3 linked regions of the Caenorhabditis elegans genome follow. The protein of the gene in region 2 purifies or fractionates together with the protein of the main gene of each other region. This does not show direct contact. Each region holds a gene or a part of one and is shown on either strand. Other genes may lie near its edges.

Region 1 (7,465 bases), on a different chromosome or scaffold from region 2:
AAAAAATGCGTAAAATTCATGAATAAACACCTCAAATTTTACAGGTCCAGACTCGTACCGAGATCTTCCTCGCCTTGTCGCAGTTGCTGCAGGTGGTTCAAATGGAATTAATGTGCAACTTTCTCTCGATGAAACGTATGCAGATGTGCAACCGATTCGAGTCGATAGTGCTTCCAAGACGGCTTTCATGTTTGTCGATTTAAAAATTTCAATTTTAAAAAAACATTTTAAAACTTCAGTTCGATCATGCGAGGCTGTGACAATATGTGCACATACTGCGTGGTTCCATTCACAAGAGGAAGAGAACGAAGTCGGCCTATTGAATCAATTGTAGAAGAAGTTCAGAGGCTTCGAGATCAGGGATACAAACAGGTCACACTACTTGGACAAAATGTGAATAGCTATAGAGATATGACATCGATGGATTTCTCAATGGCTCCATCGACATCACAAGAGGACAGAGTTCCCGGTTTTAAGACTGTTTATAAACCAAAAAGTGGGGGCCTGACCTTTACAACATTGCTTGAAAAAGTCGCTGATGCAGCTCCAGATATCCGATTTCGGTTCACTTCCCCGCATCCAAAGGATTTCCCGATGCAGGTAACTTTTATGAAGCTTTAATTGATAATCATGATAACCTTCAGTTGATCGAGCTTATTGCATCCCGTCCAAATCTCTGCAAACAACTTCATCTTCCAGCACAAAGTGGAGATGATGAGACATTGGAACGGATGGAAAGAGGATACACAAGAGATCTGTATTTGAGATTAGTTGATGATATTAGACATGTTTTACCAAGTGAGTATGAATCACTCTTCAAACAAAACTTAATTATTTTATCAGGCGTCTCTCTGACAAGTGACTTCATTGCCGGATTCTGTGGAGAAACTGAACAAGCTCATCAGAACACACTTTCCCTCATTCGAGCCGTTCGTTATTCATTCTGCTTCGTTTTCCCCTACAGTATGCGTGGAGTGAGTCAGTTGCTGAAAATTGTTCCTATCAGATTATTTTCAGAAAACGCGAGCACATCATCGGTTAACAGACGATGTTCCAGAAGATGTAAAAGCAAGAAGACATTTAGATTTGACTACTGTATTTCGGGAAGAAGCATTGAAATTGAACCAAGCGCTTATCGGGTCGGAACAGACGGTTTTGTTGGAAGGAGTGAGTCATCTATAAACACCAATAAAATGAATTAAAATAATATTTTTAGAAGTCAAAAAGGGATGCATCATTTTCACATGGAAGGATCGATGGTGGTGTGAAAGCAGTGTTCGACAATTCGAAACTCTGTTTGGAACCTGGTCAATATGCAAAGATTCTGATCACCGACGCCAATTCGCAGACATTGAAAGCGCAACTCATAGGACAATCCAGCATCTGATCTATAAATATAGTTGAACCTTACACTTCATAGAGTAGTTATCTTTGTTGTTTGTTATTGTTAAAGATAAATCGTTTGAGTACACGAAAATGAATTTATTCAGAGCTCGTTCATTAAAATACAGAAATTCCCGAAGGAATAAAGAATAAATAATTGTTACTTGAACGGAGATCGAGGAGGAATAACGAGTGAATTGATGGGTTCGATTTAAATGTCTCCTCCGCGAAGACGAAGAACGAGATGAAGTGTCGACTCCTTTTGGATGTTGTAATCGGATAGAGTGCGTCCATCCTCGAGCTGCTTTCCAGCAAAGATCAAACGTTGCTGATCTGGTGGGATTCCCTCCTTATCCTGGATTTTGGCTTTGACATTCTCAATGGTGTCCGAAGCTTCGACCTCGAGAGTGATGGTTTTTCCAGTCAAAGTCTTGACGAAGATCTGCATACCTCCTCTGAGACGGAGCACCAAATGAAGAGTAGACTCCTTCTGGATATTGTAGTCCGAAAGGGTACGGCCATCCTCGAGTTGCTTTCCTGAAAAACAATAAAAATTAGTTTTAATTCTAAAAACAATATGAACTCACCAGCGAAAATAAGTCTCTGCTGATCTGGTGGAATTCCTTCCTTGTCTTGGATCTTGGCCTTGACATTTTCGATGGTGTCGGAGGCTTCGACTTCGAGGGTGATGGTCTTTCCGGTCAATGTCTTGACGAAGATCTGCATACCTCCTCTCAGACGGAGAACCAAATGAAGAGTAGACTCCTTTTGGATGTTGTAGTCGGAGAGGGTACGACCGTCTTCGAGTTGTTTTCCGGCGAAGATGAGTCTCTGCTGATCTGGTGGGATTCCTTCCTTGTCTTGAATCTTGGCCTTCACATTCTCGATGGTATCAGAGGCTTCGACTTCAAGTGTGATGGTCTTTCCAGTCAATGTCTTGACGAAGATCTGCATACCTCCTCTGAGACGGAGCACCAAATGGAGGGTTGATTCCTTCTGGATATTGTAGTCCGAAAGGGTACGGCCATCCTCGAGTTGCTTTCCGGCGAAGATCAAGCGTTGCTGATCTGGTGGGATACCTTCTTTGTCTTGGATCTTGGCCTTCACGTTCTCAATAGTGTCAGAAGCTTCCACCTCGAGCGTGATGGTCTTTCCTGTAAGAGTCTTGACGAAGATCTGCATTCCTCCTCGGAGACGGAGAACCAAGTGAAGAGTAGATTCCTTCTGAATGTTGTAATCAGAGAGCGTGCGCCCATCTTCCAATTGCTTTCCTGAAATAATAATAGTTGATTTGAGTTATGTATATCTATATAACGTACCGGCAAAGATAAGACGCTGCTGATCTGGTGGGATTCCTTCCTTGTCTTGGATCTTGGCCTTCACATTTTCGATGGTATCAGAGGCTTCGACTTCGAGGGTGATAGTCTTTCCAGTCAAAGTCTTCACGAAGATTTGCATACCTCCTCTCAAACGGAGAACCAAATGAAGAGTTGATTCCTTCTGGATGTTGTAGTCCGAAAGGGTGCGGCCGTCTTCGAGCTGCTTTCCAGCGAAGATGAGACGTTGCTGATCTGGAGGAATTCCTTCCTTGTCCTGAATCTTGGCCTTCACGTTCTCGATGGTATCGGAGGCTTCGACTTCGAGGGTGATGGTCTTTCCGATAAGAGTCTTGACGAAGATTTGCATTCCTCCTCGGAGACGGAGAACCAAATGAAGAGTAGACTCCTTTTGGATGTTGTAATCGGAGAGAGTACGGCCATCCTCGAGTTGCTTTCCGGCAAAGATCAAACGCTGTTGATCTGGTGGGATACCTTCCTTGTCTTGGATCTTGGCCTTCACGTTCTCAATAGTGTCAGAAGCTTCAACCTCAAGAGTAATAGTCTTTCCGGTCAAAGTCTTGACGAAGATCTGCATTCCTCCTCTTAGGCGGAGCACCAAATGGAGGGTTGATTCCTTCTGGATATTGTAGTCCGAAAGGGTACGGCCATCCTCGAGTTGCTTTCCTGAAAATATATAATAAATTTTAGGTCAAATATTAGATATTTTGCCAACGTACCAGCAAAAATAAGTCTCTGCTGATCTGGTGGAATTCCTTCCTTGTCTTGGATCTTGGCCTTGACATTTTCGATGGTGTCGGAGGCTTCGACTTCGAGGGTGATGGTCTTTCCGGTCAATGTCTTGACGAAGATCTGCATACCTCCTCTCAAACGGAGAACCAAATGAAGAGTTGATTCCTTCTGGATGTTGTAGTCCGAAAGGGTGCGGCCGTCCTCGAGCTGCTTTCCGGCGAAGATAAGTCTTTGCTGATCTGGTGGGATTCCTTCTTTATCTTGAATCTTAGCCTTGACATTTTCGATCGTGTCGGAAGCTTCGACTTCAAGTGTGATGGTCTTTCCAGTCAATGTCTTGACGAAGATCTGCATACCTCCTCTGAGGCGGAGCACCAAGTGGAGAGTAGACTCTTTCTGAATATTGTAATCAGAGAGTGTGCGTCCATCTTCCAATTGCTTTCCTGGAAAAAAATTAGTCTCTCATGAACAAAATTTGTTATATGTAACATACCAGCAAAGATAAGACGCTGCTGATCTGGTGGGATTCCCTCCTTGTCTTGAATCTTGGCCTTGACGTTCTCGATCGTGTCGGAAGCTTCAACTTCAAGTGTGATGGTCTTTCCAGTCAAAGTCTTGACAAAGATCTGCATTCCTCCTCTAAGACGAAGAACCAAGTGAAGAGTAGATTCCTTCTGGATGTTGTAGTCAGACAGGGTGCGGCCGTCCTCGAGCTGCTTTCCGGCGAAGATGAGACGCTGCTGATCTGGTGGAATTCCTTCCTTGTCTTGGATCTTGGCTTTGACATTTTCGATGGTATCGGAAGCCTCCACCTCCAGGGTGATAGTTTTTCCAGTCAACGTTTTGACGAAGATTTGCATGATTGCTGAAAAAATAGAAAATGAGTGCGAATAAAACTGGAATGAGGAGGCGAGAGAAGAGGTGATTATGAAAGAAAGTCCTAGAAAGTTGCGAAATATTACCCAAAAAATCGATACACTAGTAAGACTAACAAAGCAAACTTCATCCCCACTCGTCATAGGCAAGTCAAACGAAAAAAGAAAGGCATAAAAGTAAAATGGTAGTAAAGAGCTAATCGATGAGGAGTAATGTCCGAGTAGAGACAAGTGAAATGAGAATGGAGACAAGGTGGCACGCGAGCGGAGCGTTCTGGTCGAATGGGGTGTATGACTGCTGTATGCCCGCCTCAACGATCGATAAAACCCCCAACGCACGCGCACACTGACTCCGCCTTCCCCGAGTGTTGTTAGAGACGCAGATGTTCAGCTGATGTCCTCGTTTCTCTGACCGAAAATAACTACCAAGCAGTATTGCTAAAATGGGAAAATAATTCATATAACAACTGATTGAGATTATTCAAAAAAGCATGACATTTCTGTTGGTTTTACCCCGCTAAATCTTACAATTAGACAAAAAAAAAGAAACTCACCGTTTGGTAAACTGATTCTTGACAGTAATAAATTAAAGAGCGCCCAAAACGTGAATATTGAATCTACACGTTGAACTTTACTCAAACATTCTAATTAAACGACGCACGTATTATTGAAGGCCACAAAGTAAAAAATGTTGCTATGCTCACTTTCTGTTAGCAAGAAGTCGCCTATTACGAGAACCAGTGAGGAAGAGCAAGAGAAAGGAGGGGGGGGGGGGGGGTCGCTGACTCAAACGGCACTCTTTCTGCACAAGAAGAACATTCTAGAGTGCTGTGTAGGGAAAGAAATGATGAGGAAGAAGGGGACAATGTGTGCAGAGGGAATACAACGAAAATCGAACGGGGTGTTCTTTTTTCTCGTCATGCAACTGGGTCGACCAGTTTCTTTTCATCTTTAACTAAACGATAGAGAAATCATAGGCCTGAATAATAGTGACGTCTGTGTAAAGTATTGTTTCCATTTTTGTTACAGAAAATGATGAAACGAAGAATAGGAAAAGTGAACAGGGTCAGTTGTTCGTTTGACGCATATATAGGGAGAACATAAGAAAGAGCAGACGGTCAAGGACATTTTTTTATAATCTGCGACTAGCAGGAAAGTATGAATAATGTCCTAACGGCACCCGAACCAATTTTCAGACAGACGCGAAAGTGCTTGTACTTTGTACTGATGAACGAACGACAAAACAAGTGCAGTGAGAAAACGGGAGGACACTGGGGAGAATCATGTGAGCCCGTCATAAGACTAAAAGATGAGCTAGTGGCGATCAGGCGAAGGTTCAATACGACTATTGGGTCTTTTCAAGAGAGCCCCGGAAAACTAAATTTAAAAACATCAGTTAAGAGTACAACGAGAACAGGGAATGAGGAACGCACAGACTAAACATTAAAATTTTCCGATACTTTTCGAAAGTATTGCGAAATCAATAACAAAATACTTTGCTATGAGTTTTTTAAATGAAAACCGAAATAATGCAATTTTCTGAATGCTGGAAAGAGTGAAAAAGCGATACGAAAAAGCAGAGAGCAGCGAAAATAGCCGGCAACTCAAGATAATGAGAGAGCGCGAATGAATGAAGAAAATGATGGAAAGATCTGGAAAACAGAAACGAGCGGCAGAACGAATGCGAACGCGCCTTTCATGGTAGTGCGTGGCGGTTTCGTGGCGGGACCCAGGGAGGATTGCAGAACATGTTCCTTTAAATTAATTATTTATATTTTCATTGTAAATTTGTTTAAGAATACGAGAATTCTCGAATCCAGTTTGGAAAATATAATAAAAATTAAATGTTTTCAAAGAAAGATATCGAGACAGTTGCACATTAAACTTCCCGACAAAATCTATATTTAAATACGTTTTTCGAGTTTCTGATTTATTATGTGTCATGTTAAAATTGAAACATTACGCAATACTTTGAACTATGTTATTTATCATCAGAAAAAATTGACGTCTCATGAAAAATTAAAGCCTTGTGATCAAATTTCAAGGGTAACAAAAAATGATAATGACCAAAGCTTCATGTTTCTGATAAAATTTTATTGTATGGTCTTATAGGAGAAAATTGTACAATTCTCATTCTCCGGAAATTATTCCGAAGTGGAAGCTCACACTTGTTTTTGTTTTTCTCCATATCGAAATTTCACCGGGCTAAAATAGGAATGAGTGTTTGCGGAGGGTTGTCAAATTTGGTAGGAGGAAAACAAAATAGACGATAGGCGGAAATAAAGCACCTGGCAGTAACAGGTGCAGTGAAAGAAATAATGGAAACGATAGAAAAGTAAAGGTTTTATACAGCATTGACAAGCTGGATTCTTCTCGAAACTCGGGAATATCGCCACGTTGGAGAAAATCTAGTTTTTTTGTAAAGTTCTGTGGAAGCTTGAAAATGACTGCAAAGTTTTCAGAGAAACAAAGGAAAAATTGAAGTTTAAAGTTGTGTTCGAAAACGAAAATCGTGATTTATATCCTGCATTCTAACGAATAGCAATGAATAGTGATGATTTATTTCATCATCATTTTTCTCTTTTTAAGCCACGTCATAACTATTTGTATCTTCCTCACAATTGTTCAGTTAACTGAGAAACCTTTTAAAAAAGTATTATCAATTGAGAGATCACTGGCGCTTACTTGACGTGTGGCTATCTCGGTAGAAAACACGGAGAGACGCAAACATGTTTTTGGTGCGGAAAGTGCGGAAAAGAGGTGTTTGTTAAGTCGGCTGTGGGGAAACGAGAGGGAGACAGATACAATCTTGAAAAATTGACGACTATGATGATGATGATGCAAGCACGGAAATGGATGGTGGGGACTGGTTTGGAGAAAGCATCACGGGTCATGTGAGAGAAGAAAGATGCAAATAGGGAGGAAAGTGATGGAACGGGTAAGGGTTGAAGGGAAAAGGTATTATAAGTGTGGGGTTTTGAAAAATAGGGGATTGAAGGGATGTTTATAGGGTTAGAAAGATATTAGCATGTTGCAATTTTTTGCTTGCCACGATTTGGCAATATTTTCAACTTTCCAATGTGACCTAAAAAAAGATCTGGATCTTACAGCGAAGATTGTATACTTTTTATTCTGCGA
Region 2 (9,250 bases):
ATTTTTATGGGGATTTGAAAATTTTCATCTTCTCACAATCAGTTTTATGATCATGATTTATAAATTGAAGGCGTTTGCGAATAAAATAATAATTATTCAAACCAGAATTTGAAACAAATAACTTTCTATTATGAAAAATGTGTGCACTTTAGGTTTGAAATTTTCAAAGTTTTCTTTTTTTTTAAATCATATGATCAAGTCTATATACTTTGGCATTCTTAGCAAAGCCGTGTCAAAACCCACTCCAATCATTTGTGCCTTTAACCCGACATGTCAAGCTTTAGAAAAAAATATAATAATTTAAGACGAAAGCAATATTGTATGCCATTCACGTAATTCGGGATCAAGCTCCAGTCTTAAAATGTTTTTGTTTTTGATCCTCTGCTTTGTTTGAAGTTTCAATCATTTTAATAATACATATCAGTTTCAAATGTGACAACATTCGTTTTAATCAATTGGTTACATCAAGAACTGTTGCCGTTTTTGCTATTTCTTTTTCTCATTAAATCCTCTTCATTTTCAATTTTCTCTCTGTCTATTAGTTCCACAAACGACCTTATCAATCTCCCAAACATTTAGCGTCGACAGTCGACACACACACACACACATACAAGCGACACTAAAAAATTGCACTAAAATGTTTTTACCCTTCTTTTCAATTTTTGCTTAGGCGCTAGAAGATGGAAAAGGGGCAATTGTAATGTACTCGCCGAGAAACAGAATAATGGATAATTTTTCATGTTGTCCTCGTGCCCTGCTGAGGGGATAGACAGATTGGACGCTACTGTCCGGTCGGTGATTCCTATCGTACTTCCCTCAAAAAGAGGTTCAAGATGGTATTTCTCACCTCCAACAATTATCTTCCTTACTTTCGATGATATCCTCATGTTTTATATTTTTAGTGTTCATTACGCGCGAAAAATTTACTGCAATAAAAAATAAACACAACAAAAAAAGGAGATGAAGACAGAAGGAAACATGATGAATCCTTCATTCTTATCGTCAATCTTTTTGCTGAAAAATGTCTATCTTTTTACCGTCTCCCATGAATTTTGATCTCCATTGTTTTTTTTTTCTGTAGTTCTTTATAATCTATAATAACAATCGCATGGTCACATGGGCGCGCTGCAAGGTGCGATTTGTTCTGAAATAACCGGGACACGTGGCCATTCAGAAATAATTGTAACAGTTATTTTATCCGGTTTTCATGAAATACCGAAATAATTTGTTTTGTTTTCAATCCGGAAAAACTAAAATTTGAAATGGAAGTACCAAAATACTTCTTCTATGAGGCTCTACGGCCAAAAATATTATATTAATTTTTAGGTAATGTTCCAAATGGAGTTTGAGGTGGCAATAATTTGAAGATAATATTCATTGCGTTTGTTGGTGTCCAACAAGTTTTCAAATAAATAATCACGTAGAATTTTGAAGAAAAAATTAAAGCACTTATTCTGACAACTGTATATTTACGTATCTACTTTTTTTCGAATTATTATATTAGTTCAGTTACTTCCAAATGAACACTGCAACATTCCACTGCGTCTTATTCTTTTCTTCAAAATTGATAATATGTATCATTATCATGTGTTAAAATTTTCATTTCTCGCAATCTTTACTTATCATCTTTTTAGAAACCCAACTTTGGAATATTGACGCCTGTATTGAAAAATTGGTGAAGGATTGAAAAATTTCAGTTAAAAAAAGTTATTTTTTTATGAGATCCTTTTTGCAATAGTCATAAATAACACACATTGCAAGTTAAAATAACTTTTGAGGTTAAAAATGTTTTTTTTTAGCACAAGACGGAAGCACTGATTTTTTAAATATTCCAATTTCCTGTAAGATTTTGAAATGTTAAATGATGTCTTTATGAAAGATTGCTCATAAGGAGAACACTGTTATCAGTAAACCCCCGACATGGAGCACCCGTTGCAACACTTTTCTCCATTTCTTAAACAAACTATTCTTCTTTTATTGCTTTTTCTCGACGTAATTTCACTTTTTTCCGGTTGTAAAATAATAATATATTATAAGTTTTTACAACTTAAAAAATAAATTGAGCAAAAACTTTTTCAGAATAGTATGAAAGATAGTTAATTCATTAATATAATTTTTAAGTTGTAGTCTTTATGACATTGTGTACATAACAAGTAAATGCAATTTGTCTGTGAAAGTGTTTAAATGTACAAACAATAGGCAACTCATACCCACTAAATGAGTCATTAACGTGTCCTTCAAAAAATCAAAGTTCATAGTATTGGAAAACAGGATAAAAAGTCATATTAATGATGATGCTTTTCTTCAGCGGAAATAAAAAAAAACCTTTTCAAAAGTGTATCATGAAAATTAGCAATTGATCCATTGCATGAAACAATAAAAAAAACATAATTTATAGTAGTGAACTCCAATAAAATTATAATAAATAACAATCAAAGTTTTGCTTAAATAATTTGAATGCCAGAAACTTAGCCTGAAAGAAAATTAACTTTTTTTTATCATTCACAGTTTGCAATTTTATCCTGCAATTTGAAAGTTAACACAATTTTTAAAAATTATTTTTAAGGTTGTACTCTTGGTTATTCTAATTTGCCATGATTAACACTTTCCTATTGACCAAACTTTTGTCTAAAATGAATAATCCTGATAACGATTCTGTCTAACGGAAACCAAATGATGGCTTGTTTGATTTTCCACTAGAAACCTTTTGAAAAACAGCAAATCTGGGTCGTTATGCTGATATGATATAAATGAATAAGAAAATAAAGAAGAATAAAAATGAAGGACTTGATAAATAAGAGTCGACTAATTATCCCAACTGATAATTTACGACTAAGCTATCCCATTTCTATTTTCTCTCCCAGCCTTCCCAGTTCTCCTCCCAAATACATCCTTATCAAAGTTGTTTCCCCCGTCTTTCCCGTTTGTTCATTTCAAACCCACAACTGATGACTGTGTGCCTTCTCGTTTCACCACAGATAATCATTATTATTGAAACATACCTCTAAATTTTATTAGCCAATTTCACACCTTTGGCTGCTCACTCACTGATAGGTGATTGAAAGCACGAAAGAAAATGGGTTGAATAATGCGAGCGGGACGGGCAAGGGGATGGGAATGATTGGGGGTGAAATAGAAGCCATCTGATATCAATAGCCCTTTACTCTAGGTTAGGTACAAACCGCTCATTTCTATTATTGCTTTTTCTTCATTACACAAGCCTTAGACTCTCTATCTCACTATTTCACCGCCCCATCACCACACACTCTTTCTTGTGCCCAGCAGGAAGATTTGTAATGTTTTCAAACATTTTGTTCATTCAGTTTTTTCACTGCTTTTTCCTATTTTTTCTCTTCATCCGGCAGACAAATCGTTTTTCTTGTTCGAATTGATTCATAAAAAAATATTTGGCTTTTTTTTTCAGAAAACTGGGATGGACCTGGATCCGAACCTAGTTATTAACCATGACGACACAAATTTATCAGAGGCATCTTTTACAATGTAAGTTTTTTTGATTGAACGAGCCTGCAAATTTGAGGAAAAGAAACAATTTATTTTGATGTTGGGAGTTATCAAAAAAAAAATTTTAAAACTGTTTTAAAATATTTTTTACAGGGAGCAACACACCTCGAGCTATTCGGATATACACATGGGCTCAACGCCCTGCACCGGCCACCGCAAGGTGGATATGTGGCGGAATCACAACTTTGATAGCGGTTTCCAAACAATGAATCACAGTGAGGTACGAGAAAACAGAGGAGAGATAGACACACACACACAACAAAGATTAATGTGTTTCAATTTCAGGCTCCATCTATTATATCATCTCTACATCCGTCATCGCATCTTTCCGGAATGTCATCCATGGCCGACTATGAGCCGATCCCCACTCTTTCAGATCAAGTAAGACCATTTCATATCAAAATGCGCTGGTGGACAAAATTGTTATTTTTCTTCCAGCAAAAACAAAAGTTTGATGGGATCACGCAAAATCAAGCGGATGGGCAGTATAACACAGTTCGAGCAATTCCAGAACTCACTATGCTTATGAAAGATCAGGATAATGTAAGATTTTTTTGTTCAAAACTTTTTTGAAATATTCATACTCATAATTTCACAATATATGAATTAAAAAAATCCTCGGTTTTGACCTATTTTTTATATTTTAATTATATTCAAACATCTTGTATTCCAACATGCAACAATGCTCGAAATGTTACAAATTTTTGGAAAACTTAGCAACTTATCAGAACTGTGACTGAAATTTTTGAAAAAAAAACTTTAAAAAATTAGAAACGTATGTCTACTATTACTATTATTACTATTACTATTACTATTACTACTATTACTGGACTACTATTATTTCATTTAGGTATAATATGATGTTAATTGATTTTTAACTTTCAATTACTCAAAATAAATTATCAAATCTACAGTAAGAAAAATATTTAGTCGAATTTATTCACTTAAATTTTCAAATCACAAAATCTGAAATTAAACTATGAACTTTTGATTTCAGTACTGATATTAACACAAAGATAAATTGGTTCTAATGCTGCTTACTGATGAAGCCGGTGTTTGAACTTTTGATTGTTTGTAACATTTAAAATCGATTATCAAAATTGAAGTATCTGGAAAAAATTTAAAAAAATTGATTGTTCTGCTGAAAAAAACATTATTCAAACAAAAATCTTACAGGAGGTTGTGCACAAAGCTGTAATTCTGATGCAAAATATTGCGAAGATGGAGTGTGACCCAATGCGACGGCAAAATGAAGCTCGAATTGTGGACCCCCGTGTTATATTTACACTGCGTGATCTTCTCCGTGACAAAGTTGAATTCCCGGTATAGCTTGTGCACTTGCACAGTTTAATACATCATATATTTTCAGAACATCATTCGTTGCACTTTGGGAACATTCTTCCACATTTGCAACCGACAGGAAGGAATTGATCTTGTCACTCGAGCGATCGCAGAACAACCTGATATAATTCCAAATCTTATTAGGCATATTGGGTAAGAAAGTTAAATTTCAGAAAAAAATCATTCAAATAGCTGTTACAGTACTTATCCAAGTTCAATATACAAATATGCCATTCTTACTATGCATTCGATTCTGTCCGATAAGCAGAGAGGCGGACAAAGTGTGATCATTGCGCGTCAACAAGATGCGATTACTGTAAGATTAAAGAAGAAAAAAAATTGAAAAAAAAAAATTTACAAAAAATTGCAGCATGTGACTCCGTGGTTAGAAGCGGAGAAATCAGAAAAACTTCTTCCAGTGATAGTTGACTTGATCAGAGTTTTGTGTGAAAAGAACACCGAACAGAAAATCAAGTTTGTGAAAATGGGAGGACCTCAAAAACTGCTCATGCTACTACAACACAGAGTTTATGAAAATTTGCTTTGGCGAACTACGCAACTTTTGAAAACATTTTCGAACTTTGTAAGAAATATTTGAAACTGAAGGATGTAATGTCTGAACTTTTCCAGGACGCTCCAAATCTTGTTGCTTTTGGTGGTCGCCAAATTCTCGCCAATCTTCTTTCACATGGTAGTCCGCGACTTGTACAATCAACCCTTGAAACTTTGCGAAATATAAGTGACGTACCAAGCAAAATAAAAGAAGATTTACTTTTGAAATCTCTTCTGGAGCTGGTCAATTCTCGAAATACAACAATCCGTCTATATTCTGCTCAGATAATGTCAAATCTAGTTGCAAACAACAGGCATAACAAGGTGCTTTTGTCAGAAATCAAGATATAGTATTAATTTTAATTCCAGGAGTTTATGTGTGGCAACAATGGGGTTGTCATTCTTGTGAGAGCTTTAACAATTGCCACCAAAGAGATGGGTGACTTGAGAGATAAAGAAGCACAGCAAATGGAGGATTATATTGTAATAACATTTAAATTTCAAAGCTTAACAATACGGTTTTCAGGAAAGCCTAATTTGCACGCTACGGCATCTCTGTGTTGGACATCCAATGTCAGATAAGGTCCAAGCATTTGTTTTCCGAGATCCTGCATTATTTCTACACAAATTGTTAACAATGAGACCAGTATTGCTGAAACACACATTGAGTGTAAGTCATTAATTTGAAGGGCTAATAAGAAATTGAGATTTAATTTAGCTCCTGCTGAAAGTTGTATCCCAACATGCCCTTCTTGCTCCATTCCGATCATGCCGAATTGGAGATAAAGGTTTTGTTGAGCAACTCATTCATATTTTGAGAGTGGCATGTACCCAGCTGAATGTGGTAAGTAAAAAGTCAACAAACCGACTAATAATTGTTGGATTTCAAGCAAGAATCTATCGAAGGTGTCCGCGTGAAAGATATCATTCATCTTTGTATTCAAATCCTGCGATGGATTACAAGAGACCAGGACATTCTCAACGAGGTATTAATGTTTTCAGGTTGAAAACCCAAATTTCAATTTATAGGTTGTTTTCTTCCTGCAAACTCCTGAAAATAGCCGAATGGGCGATGGTCATACTCTTCCAATTTTTGTATTACAAAAAGCCAACGTTGAAGAGAACACGAAATCATCGGCTCTGGCCTTGATTTATAATTTGATGCATCATGAGCAAATGGCAAACGTACTTGACAGAGATGACGTTCTTGTTAAAATGCTTCAAAATGTTCAAATGCAATCTCAAACTCACCCTGAATTAGGTAACGTTGCACACCAATAGACAAGTAGAACTGAAAATTTACAGCAAGTCTAGCAAATAATATTCTCAAGATGATGTATGAGAAGCGAGAAAAGACAAGGAATACTCTTCCAAGATACAATTCATATTTAGAGGTAACACAAAATGGGGGATAACTCTAAGAAAAAGTCAGTATTACAGAGCCAATTTGGTCACATGAGCATGACCACCCCACGAAGCGAAGCACTAAATAGTAGCGGTGAAGTGTGTGAGGGAGCTGGAGAGCAATGGTCTACACCTTTAACAGATGATACTATGATGGATTCGTATTGCAACAGCTCCGGACGAGATTCATCAAGTAAGATATAAGATGACAATTTAATTTGCTCTAGGAAGCTAATCAAATTTAACAAATAACTTTCGGCCATTTTGACATTTGCCGGATGTCAAAATTTTGAAGATGTCTTTAGAAAAGCAGTTTAAAATATAAGCTCAACAAAGATATATGTTCGATAATTTTCAAAGCTTCGGCAACACGATTGTTCGTTGCCGAAAACTTCCCGAAGTTTTTATATATTGCCAACTTTGATAAACGCAGGATTCCAAAGATTCTATCTACATACATAGTTTTGCTTACCATTGTGAGAGCGAAAAAAAAACTTAGGAAAATTGTTATAGATGTAATTTTTCAACTTTTTTAAAATAACAATCAAAATTTGACAATTATTCATTTTACATAGTTACCCATTTTTTGGAAGTAAAAATTGTTTAAATGTGAAATGAAGGTTTTTAATTAACGTATTTGCTCTATAAGTGGGGGTGCCAAAACTTTTTGAAAGAATACATATATTTCGTAATATTTTATTTCGGCTGTATGATTGTTTTGTTTTTTTCTTAAGATTATTTTACTAAACTTTTCACTGACGCTACTCCACCTTCGAATTGGATTGAGACAATATACTATTAAAGAAACTATGAACCTAGAACCAAAAACAAATATTTCTTCAGAACCATACAACTCACCAATGTACCATTCCCCACCAGCAATGTATCCAGAATACTCAATTGGACCTCCCGAGACGTACTTGGATCCCCATGCCACAGCATCTTGTTATCCGCGACCAACGCCTCCTCAATATAACAGCTATGACCGTAGTCCACCAGTTTACAACGACCTTCCATCAAACCCTGGTCCGAGTAGTCATTCGTCTGATTATTATCCTTCTAGGAATAGTCGATTTTAATTTTTTAATTATAACATAGACCCCCACACTTTCCACCACCCCAGTCGGATATTTGTTGCACATTCCTTGAAAATGAGATTCTAATTATTTGTATACGGGTTCATGAATTGGCATGCAAAATATGTTGAATAAAGTGAATTTTTATTGAATTTCAATTTCAGAAAGTGTGTCAGATAAGAAAATTTTTATAAAAATAACAACTATTATTTACAAATTATGAATTCCAGATTCAGAGTGTAGTTTTTGCATGCCAAAACAAATTCATTTACGTCATTTGATTCATTTCGTAGTAGATACCCTTCAAGTTGATAAGCTGCTCATGGCTACCTTCCTCGGCAATTTCTCCATGAACAATAACGTATATTTTGTCGACGTTTCGAATTGTTGATAAACGATGAGCGACTGGAAAAAAAACATTTTTCCCGTTAGAGATTTGCCAATTCTCGTGACGTACTGGCTGAGAGTTTAAACCGCATTAAATATTACTTTTCAGTTTCAATATACTAATTCTTACTTTGAATACACGTGCATTGAGTCTTCGTACTCCTCTTGACTCGTTCAAAAGCGTTTTGAACTTCTCTCTCGCTGGCGCTATCCAATGCCGATGTTGCCTCATCTAACAGTAGAACAGTTGGTTTTCTGATAATTGCACGGGCAATTGCAATTCTTTGTTTTTGACCGCCAGAGAGCTGGGCACCAAACTCTCCAACCTCTGTGTCGTAGCCCTAAATTGCTTTGTTTTAATGTGTTTTATTTTTAAACTCACCTGTGGTAAACTAGTGATAAAATTATGAATGTCCGCAATCTTTGCAGCTTCGATAACTTTATCAATTGTTGCTTCGCTTTCCATCATTCCAAAAGCAATATTTTCCTAAGAACAAGAACATTTTATTGTGATTTTGATAAATGGTTAAAGATACCTTGATGGTGAAAGAGAAAAGATCAGGTTCCTGGCCGACTTGTACAATGCATCTTCTTAAATAGGCCGGGTTTATAGATTTGATGTTGTACTTGTCAATGATAACAACACCATCCGTGGCGTTGTACATTCGTTGGAACAAAGAAATCACCGAGGATTTACCGGACCCGGAAGGTCCTACAAGTGCAATTGATTCTCCACCCCTGACCTTTAAGTTGATCGTTGAAATTCGATGCAAAAAAGGTACTTATGGGTTTCGTTCCCCTCAATATGTTTTCCATAATTTTTGATAGAGACGTGAACTTTTTTTCATTCTCAGGCTTAGGAAGATGGTTTCCTAAGCCTGAAAATGAAAATAGTATTAAAATAAACTTTCACGTGTGGATTAAAATTAAAAATTCAGTATTAAATAATTAAAAGAACATTTTGGGGG
Region 3 (8,136 bases), on a different chromosome or scaffold from region 2:
CTGCATCCAAATATTGTCGAAAAGGAACTTGACTGGTTGTTTTCCAAAAAAAAAACATTAAATAACTCATTGAAACTAATTCAAAATTCAACTGAAAATTCTAGAGATCAGAAAGAAACTGGCATTTGAGTGAGGGTGGATTTGATGTTTATTAGATGTTTGATTACTTCAAAAAGTTGCACCTAATAAAATAGCCTACATTCTGGGGGGTTTGTGGTTTCTGACACAAAACTACGATCATAGCTACAATCACAAGAAAGTTCCTGTCTACACGAAAAAGTACAAAATTACATTGTTTTAGTTTTAGAATGAAATACACTATGAAATAAAATTGATATTTACCGAAAAAAAAAATTTTATATCCTTCAAAAATGTGTATAAAAACTTTTATTTGCGCTTAAAAAGTAGAGTTTTGTGTGGTATTCAAAATGAAATCAGGTCATCTTTAATTTTACATTTCAATTGAATTACAGTAGTAGAACGTTTCGAACTTTCAATTACACTCAACATGATTTATTTTTATTCAGAAGGCAAAAAATAGTGAGCATCGTTATTTGGCTCATCATAGTTAATTCTAGAGTATTGACAACTTAATGCAAACGATGATTGGGTGAACAACTATATAAACTGTCTCGAATAACAATACAAATATTTATACTATCCACGAAAACCAGGTATTCATTTGAAACAGAAAAAAATCACATTTACTGCTGAATCGCTTCCTAAACCAATTGAAAAGGGTACTGTAACTTGTCATCGTCTAGGTTTCAATGTGTTGTACTCGTTTTTTGATTGCTTCGCGAATTCGTATTAAATCAAAAATCTATAGTCATCCTACATAGTGTGTCCACTATGAAAATAGTTGTGAAACATTCCAATCTCCGACAATTCGTGAACTTTACAATAATCCCATTCTAACCTCTCCGGAAATTGATAAGAACTCAAAGGTGTGTGCCAAATTGAACTTTTTTTGCCACACTTCGGGTTCAAACTTACCGCTTTTTTGCTTTTGCAGAGGAGAAATATTAGTTTTGGCATTAAAATGTGACACCACCCATCTGCCAAACACTTGATCTGCCAAACACTTGAGCTGTCACATTTTTGATCGAATTGCAATTGAAATATGGAAAATTCCGTAAACTTTCTTGTGAAATATCTAATCGATATGTTGTCATTTAACTGTCGCATGACTTGATTTTGCATGCTTATCGATTATAACTTTTGACTTTTTTCTACTACAAAACTGGGATTCAGTGGAAGGTTAATTATTTTCTCATTATCACTCTTGTCACATGACTAAATAAATAGTGTGATAAGAATGGGGACGTAGAGATGTAATAGAAGAAAGTTGCAGAAATGCTCAAATCGGTTCTGCAAAGTTGTCAGTGACAATGACGTAGGAAAGACAGGAAGTGACAGAAGAATGATAATGAGAAACTCTAATTTAGAAAAAAAGATGGAATGGCAGATTGTGGAGTAGCAAAACCCAAATTTGTTTATATCATTTCGAACTATACAGAACACAATTTTCCGAGCGAATAAAAGAAATTTGGAATTGGAGGCAATGGAAGGGGAGAAAAATTAGGAACGAAAACGATTATTTGAAACAGATTTGTGTGAAGCGATTGAAAATGTGCGGGTGAGGAAAGCGGGGGATAGAAGCATTTAGAATCGTCGCCGTAGAAGAAAAACCGTTGAGAAATGGGAAGAGGGATGAAAAACAAAATAAAATGGTGAGAGTGGATGAATGGGCACCCGCAAAGCATGCGACTTTGAAAATTGAAGTATTAAAAAAATAGTTTCAGAAAAACCAGGACTCGAATGCGGTTACAAAAACAAGAAAGAAAGGGGTTGTGCGTGCGATATTCCAATATGTCGATTGAGAAAAGATGAATAGAATGCAGAGACACACACACACACTATTATCACATGAAATCAGATCAGTTAATAGTGAGAGGAAAAGTTGGGAAGGGGATGCAAAAGGATACTGTACAAAGGAATTTCAACTTTCTTTTTTGGAAAATGACAAGGAAGATTACAGAGGGTTTGGTTGATTTCTGCACCGGTTGAAGATCAGTAAAAATTCAAAAAAAAATGGGAAGGAGTGTAGATTTTATGGGCCACCATCTGGCATCTCTTCGTCTACGTCGCCTCCGCCCAGGTGATCCATATTATTTTGTTGTCGGCGCATATTGTCAAAAGCAGCCATTTCTTGCTGAAACTTGTCAATCTTTAGTCTCATCATTCAATTTTCAATTTTACCATAAGTCTGACAGGCAATTCTGGTCTTGGTTGCCTCCTTCTATGATTCTGATTGTGTGGTTGCGGTGGCGCTGGTCCAGCCACGTTCGGATTATTAACCTGATCAACTCTGTCCAGATCTTCCTCTGATGACGATTCATCATTGTCCCCGGCACCTCTAGCAGCTTCCGCCGCTGCTGCAGCTGCTGCAATATCGGCATTGTGTCGACGAGCAGCATTGGCACGTGGCCTCAGTGCAGGTTCTTCCACAACTTCTCTATCTCGTCGCTCAATTTCTCGTCGAGCAGCCATTTCAAAAAGCATTTGAGCTCGAGCGACAGCAGCTTGGTTTGGAAGTTCTGGGAGGGTGGCCTAGAAAAATAAATATGAATCACGGAAAAGAAACTGACTACAAATTTGCAAGCACTTTTTTTTCTTCAAAGTGTATTTGCGAATTTTGAAGACTATCAAATGTACTGCCATTTCTCAATTAACAGATTTGATCCAGATGTTGTACTTACTCTGTTTGTTGAAGACGGAAGCCCACTGGGTGGAGCGTCCAAAAAGTCCCAAATGAGAATAGTGTCATCATGTGAAGAGGAAACAATTTGGAAATCATCAAACTGCAGGCGGAACACTCTGCCAGTATGTTGAACTAATGAGCAGAGGCATATTTCCGAAGATAATGCACGAGGATCTAGAGCAGCTTGAAGATCCCATACTTTAATCTTTCCGTCGTATGCTCCGGAGACAATTCGTTTTTCGTCAAATCGAATGCATCGCACGAGCTCTTCATGGCCTTCAAGAACACGTAGGCATACACCAGAATGAATATCCCATAGTCGAATCGTGTTATCACTGGATCCAGAAACAACGAGCCGTCCACGATATTGAAGACATGCAATTCCTCGTCGATGGCCAGCCAATGTTCGAACAAACTCGAGTGTATCCATTGACCAGACCTGAATATTGAAAAAAATTAATATTTTCAGAACCGCAAGAATAGTAAACGAGACTCAAACGATAAGTACACCTTTAAATTAAAAAAAAAGCTTCTTAATAACTGGAAAAGCAGTTTTTTAATTTCAAATTCTCACCTTAATAGTTCGGTCTCCACTTGCACTGACTATATATCTATCATCAAAATCAACGACATTTACAGCTGCTCTATGACCAACAAGAACTCTTCGAATTGTGATATCGCGTGGCGAAACCATATCCCAGACAGCAATCGATCTATCTTTTGAGCATGTTACCATTATTCCATTAGCAAATCGAAGATGAAGAACAGCTTCACAATGATGAATTAACGTTTTAATGCACTCTCCAGTTTCGACATCCCAGACACGTACTGTGGCATCAGAAGATCCAGAAATTATTACACGATTGTCATATTGAAGGCATAAAACGGAACCAGTATGTCCAGAAAGAATTCGACTGCAGCTGTAGTCTTTTCTATCCCAAATCTAAAAATATCAGAGTTATTTTGAAATCAAAATAATATCATTCTGACTTTAATAGTGTTGTCCCTCAAACCAGATACAATTTTGTCATCGTCATATTGAAGGCAATATACTCCTTTGCTATTTTCTGATTGACAATTTATTCGAGTCATTTTGTAGTTTCCACGTTTCCAGTTGTTGTCAATGTTATGAATATCTCGAATGATTTTTGGATATAATTTACTGTAGAAGACATGCATTAAAATGAGCTGATCAAGCTTATCCCGTTTAATATTCACATCGTAGTTGAATTTTTCACAGATTCGTCGCACTGACATGTCTCGACTGATATTCAGGAATTTGTCCCTGAAATCAAGTATTTTATTCCTATTTTCTGATAAACTAAATCATCAACTAACCATTGTCTTTTTTCAGAAAGTCCCCACCACAGGGAATCACTTCGAACATTCTTTTCAATCAATTTCTTCCAATGTTGACCACGGGCGAGTGCACATCGCCAGCTTGTGCTCACTTCTTCGCAAGATTTTAATGAATCCGAGTTTACATTAAACAGAATTAATTCGACAAGATGTGCTGAAATAAAATAGAATTAGATTAGTTTAATACTGAACAGACAAAAATTTTACCTGGTAAATTACTAATGAAATCTCTCTGGAGCATGGGCCTGATAAAGTTGTCGACTTTTCCCAACTGATAATGTGATAATCGATGAACAATTTTGTCCATAAAATCGAGCTGTTCGTGTTCACTCCATTTTAATACTTCCTGAAAAAGGTGATGATAGTTGAAGAAAGATTTGGGAAAAATCAAAAAAAAAAAAAAAAAAAAAATCAAAACGACATTATGATGGCGCTAGAATGACGGGAAATCTCGTTTTCCTTACCTCGATCAGGCCTTCGTGCCCTTGAAGGTAGTCAATAGAAAGCGGTTTGCCCTCATCGTGTTCACCTTCCGTCAACGATAAGTCCGCCAGCTGCTGAGTTGTTGAAGCTCGGTGCGGTGAAGACATTTAATGTCCTGAATTAAATGGATATTATTGAGTGTTGATTGATTAGAAGATAAAAATATGTCGATATTTAGAGAACAATGTTTTTGTGTAAAAATCAATTTAAAGTCGGAAAGATCTCATATAATCAGGTGAGTTAATCAGTATCATCGAAATTTAAAGGAAATTAAAGGGAAAATGTTCCGAAGATGAAATTGTATCAACGTTGCAATGAATTTTTTGTTTCGAGAATTCTCTTGATTTCGTAATCTTTTACAGAATCAGTGAACTGGTTAATCCAAATAGAAAAATAAATTGTTATAGGAATATCTGAATTTCAGCTGAAAATAGCAAATAAAACATCTGGGAGTTTGAATTTAACAACACAATATTTGAAGATTGACATTTAAAAAACTTATTAAATAATATGTATTGCAAATGAAAAGGTAACGCACATTTTGGTGTTTATCGTCAAATTTGTGTTTATAATTTCAACTTATTTTAAAAAATAAATCAAGAATCTTTTATATGTCTCGATAGAGAATCAAAATAGTGATTTTAATCAAAGATTTCAGGGCATTTCAGAAAATCGATAAAATAGCATTTAAACTGGCAAATTTTTCGATGAGCATAATAACTATTTAGTCATGACTTTTTTTTAGTTTTTCAATCATAAATTTGCTCTTTTCTCCATTTGGGAGAAACATATTTAACGTTTTTATGATGCGGTTGGGCATTAAACGAGAACAAACGTTCGGAAATTGAAAATATCTCAGGTTTTCCTGAAAATACACAACTAACGGAAAACGATGAAAACGAACGACTATACGAAAGGAAGATTTGAGTGTTACGAGAAGGAAACAAAAAAGAAAAGACAGAAAAGAAGGTAGAAAAGAGAAAGAAAATCGGATTAGAGACAGCGGTGAAGCACCTTTCAATAGTGGAGACGCAGACAGTTAGAGCTTGAATCGACCCGCCGTCTCGTGCACGCCCTCTTTGCTTTAGGGCGCGCTTGCCTTCTCTAAATCTCCGCATTTTATGTGATGTCTAGCCCAATCCAACTGGATTCTGTTCACCTTTAAAACTAGCGAAAAGCGGAGAAAGCAAGAGAAAACAGTGTGGGAAAGGGTATTTCTCGTACTTTTTCTGCACCCCGTGCACTCTAATACTACCTCCCTCTGTCTGCTGATCACATTTTCAGCTCGACTTTTGATTTTCAGACCCGAAATTCGAGATATTATTACACATTTAGATTGACATATCTCTCGTTCTTTTTCAACCTACCTTCTTTTCCGTCTGTTTTGTGTTCGTTTGAAAAATCTTGTTTTCGTTGGTCTAGCGGTTTTTATTTCAGGATTTCAGACGCAAGTAAATACATCAGAAAGAGGACAGTGAGAGTACTGTAAACTTTAAAGGCGCACACCTTTTTGTGCAACATCTGCTTCAAAGTTTTTTGTTCGTGGCAAGACCTATTGTGCTTCAGAAATCGGATAAATTCGAAACCACTTATAATAAAAATTTGCAAAACGTATCCCATAAACATAATTTATTCTATTACATGTATATTACACTTTCAAGGAATTCACAATTCTGAAAAAATTGTTTTTAGTATAGAATCTGAAACTTTCTAAGTTTTGTACTAAATTTGAAATATCCAAACTTTTAAATTAGCTGATACCATACATTGAAATTTGAGAATTACACTTAAACGTAATACCACATAATTTCTGTCAACTTCTGTTGCAAGACAAAAGACATTAGGATGTTGAACAGGTTCATTGAAAAATCATTATACCCTTTATTTCTTCGATGGGTGCTTCTATTGGTTAAATAAAAACACGAATGATGGCTAGGTTCGTGGTATTTATTATTCATTAGACTCATCTGAAATTCAAATATATCTATCTGCCAAAAACAGAATATCCAGTTATCATTGGTGCATACTAAAGGTCAACATTAGTACAATTGGCAAGGAACAATTAGAAATTTGAAGTTTTTTTGTAAATCATTTTGAAAAAAAAACATGAAACGTATTTCTGTACCATAACAAAACACTCAAAAAAAATTCAGCCAAACTTTTTGGTAAACTGCCAAATTACCAAAAATTAGAATTTATTAAGTTTTGTAGTTTAAAGATGGAGTAGTGAAATCAATGAAGATTTTTTGAATTTTTTCACATATATATTCGGAATCAGAGGCAAATTTGGATTCATTTAAAAATATTTCCCAGATTTTCGCTACTTTTAAGTAACTCAATTTTCTTTTTATTGCCTTAAATAGAAACTTCTCCAAAAATTAATAAATCACAGTCAATGATCAAAGTTGAATAGGAGTAGAATAGTCCTTATTATTGATAAAATTAAAAATCATTTGCTGCGATTCCTTAGGTTTGTCTTCAGGCACAAAGTGGCCACTTCCACGAACGGTCAAAAAATCAACATCTGTAAATGGTTATGTAGGTTTAAAATGATATTAAAGGCAACAAACTTCCGGCGAACTTGGTCTGAAACCCAGCTACTGCAGTTCCAGTCTGGCCGGAGTAGTGCCAAGCCTCGTTCACTTTCTCCTGTTCTCCCTAAAAAATAAAAGTTAAATATAAAATAAAGACAAGAGAAACTAACAAGAACTGTCAGGTTGAGTGATGTCAAAAACTGTTGATTCATGATTGAATTACAAGCAGTGTCCACATCTCCATTGTAGACAAGAATCTAAACAATTCTAAATACTTGAAATTAATTTGAAATATTCAAACTTTAATTCCTGCAGCAATCATTGTCTGAAATTCGGGAATCACATTGAAATGTGTTACTACATAATTCTTTCCAACTTGGTCGCTGTAAGAGAAAACAATTAGGATTAATTAATTGTAAGATGACACTACGCAATATTCTAGCAAACTTTCCTCCAGGTAATACCGAGAAGACATAGACCCCACAAAAACCAACCTACACTCTTCCCATGCTGGAAGAGAACTTGGAATGTGCAAACTTTTCCGAACATCCGCTCTATTCAAATAAACATGTGTATTATTGGTTTGAGCACAAAGCGGAACTGTCTGAAAGTATTTTGAAATTATAGTAGTTTCTGAAATCTAGTATTACGGTAGCTGCATTATGTTTTCTTGCTGGTAATCCGACGGCTATTCTCATTTGTCTTTCGATAAAAGCTTTTTTGAGATTTGTGGTTGGATTGTAATAACAAACATCATACAAGTTGTACATATTAAGCTCATTAGTACCATCTAGTGCCTGAAATTTAAAACATTTTTGAGAGAAACTGTTTCCAACTTACATTGATAACTTTGTCTCTACAATTTGGATCAAAGAATTTGCTGTAGATGTCACATGTTCCAATGTTGTTATTGCAACAATTTCTTGCAATGTCATTGTATAAACTGAAAAAATATACAATTATGAAGAAGTATCATTTGAAAAATCAGGTAGAAGG

Evidence for each region. Proteins that work in one complex are often made in the same cells at the same time.
Region 1: the proteins of bar-1 (region 2) and ubq-1 purify together in Caenorhabditis elegans (affinity purification with western blotting, with the first as the bait; one study listed by BioGRID). This does not show direct contact.
Region 3: the proteins of bar-1 (region 2) and lin-23 purify together in Caenorhabditis elegans (affinity purification with western blotting, with the first as the bait; one study listed by BioGRID). This does not show direct contact.

Annotation. Positions count from the first base shown.
Region 1 is NC_003281.10:5,937,838-5,945,302, reverse strand, and holds ubq-1 (Ubiquitin-related), read right to left. Parts: upstream 4,318-7,465; 5' UTR 4,313-4,317; coding exon 3,946-4,312; intron 3,896-3,945; coding exon 3,440-3,895; intron 3,387-3,439; coding exon 2,703-3,386; intron 2,655-2,702; coding exon 1,971-2,654; intron 1,921-1,970; coding exon 1,595-1,920; 3' UTR 1,476-1,594; downstream 1-1,475. Other genes in the region: F25B5.5 (CDK5RAP1-like protein), read left to right, coding at 45-189, 240-600, 645-798, 844-974, 1,018-1,167, 1,217-1,387. UniProt on the Caenorhabditis elegans protein: Ubiquitin exists either covalently attached to another protein, or free (unanchored).
Region 2 is NC_003284.9:7,164,800-7,174,049, reverse strand, and holds bar-1 (Beta-catenin/armadillo-related protein 1), read left to right. Parts: upstream 1-3,424; 5' UTR 3,425-3,433; coding exon 3,434-3,501; intron 3,502-3,615; coding exon 3,616-3,742; intron 3,743-3,807; coding exon 3,808-3,903; intron 3,904-3,960; coding exon 3,961-4,065; intron 4,066-4,698; coding exon 4,699-4,845; intron 4,846-4,891; coding exon 4,892-5,016; intron 5,017-5,064; coding exon 5,065-5,179; intron 5,180-5,233; coding exon 5,234-5,446; intron 5,447-5,493; coding exon 5,494-5,739; intron 5,740-5,784; coding exon 5,785-5,898; intron 5,899-5,941; coding exon 5,942-6,085; intron 6,086-6,133; coding exon 6,134-6,259; intron 6,260-6,305; coding exon 6,306-6,401; intron 6,402-6,444; coding exon 6,445-6,676; intron 6,677-6,720; coding exon 6,721-6,809; intron 6,810-6,855; coding exon 6,856-7,012; intron 7,013-7,662; coding exon 7,663-7,898; 3' UTR 7,899-8,045; downstream 8,046-9,250. Other genes in the region: pgp-10 (P-GlycoProtein related), read right to left, coding at 8,164-8,300, 8,413-8,623, 8,665-8,769, 8,819-9,025.
Region 3 is NC_003280.10:6,367,890-6,376,025, reverse strand, and holds lin-23 (F-box domain-containing protein), read right to left. Parts: upstream 4,724-8,136; 5' UTR 4,714-4,723; coding exon 4,588-4,713; intron 4,470-4,587; coding exon 4,331-4,469; intron 4,278-4,330; coding exon 4,103-4,277; intron 4,050-4,102; coding exon 3,755-4,049; intron 3,708-3,754; coding exon 3,339-3,707; intron 3,204-3,338; coding exon 2,763-3,203; intron 2,614-2,762; coding exon 2,263-2,613; intron 2,222-2,262; coding exon 2,114-2,221; 3' UTR 1,476-2,113; downstream 1-1,475. Other genes in the region: Serine carboxypeptidase ctsa-4.1, read right to left, coding at 7,006-7,130, 7,177-7,264, 7,311-7,397, 7,442-7,523, 7,635-7,744, 7,791-7,937, 7,981-8,083. UniProt on the Caenorhabditis elegans protein: Functions cell autonomously to negatively regulate cell cycle progression. Required to restrain cell proliferation in response to developmental cues. Probably recognizes and binds to some proteins and promotes their ubiquitination and degradation.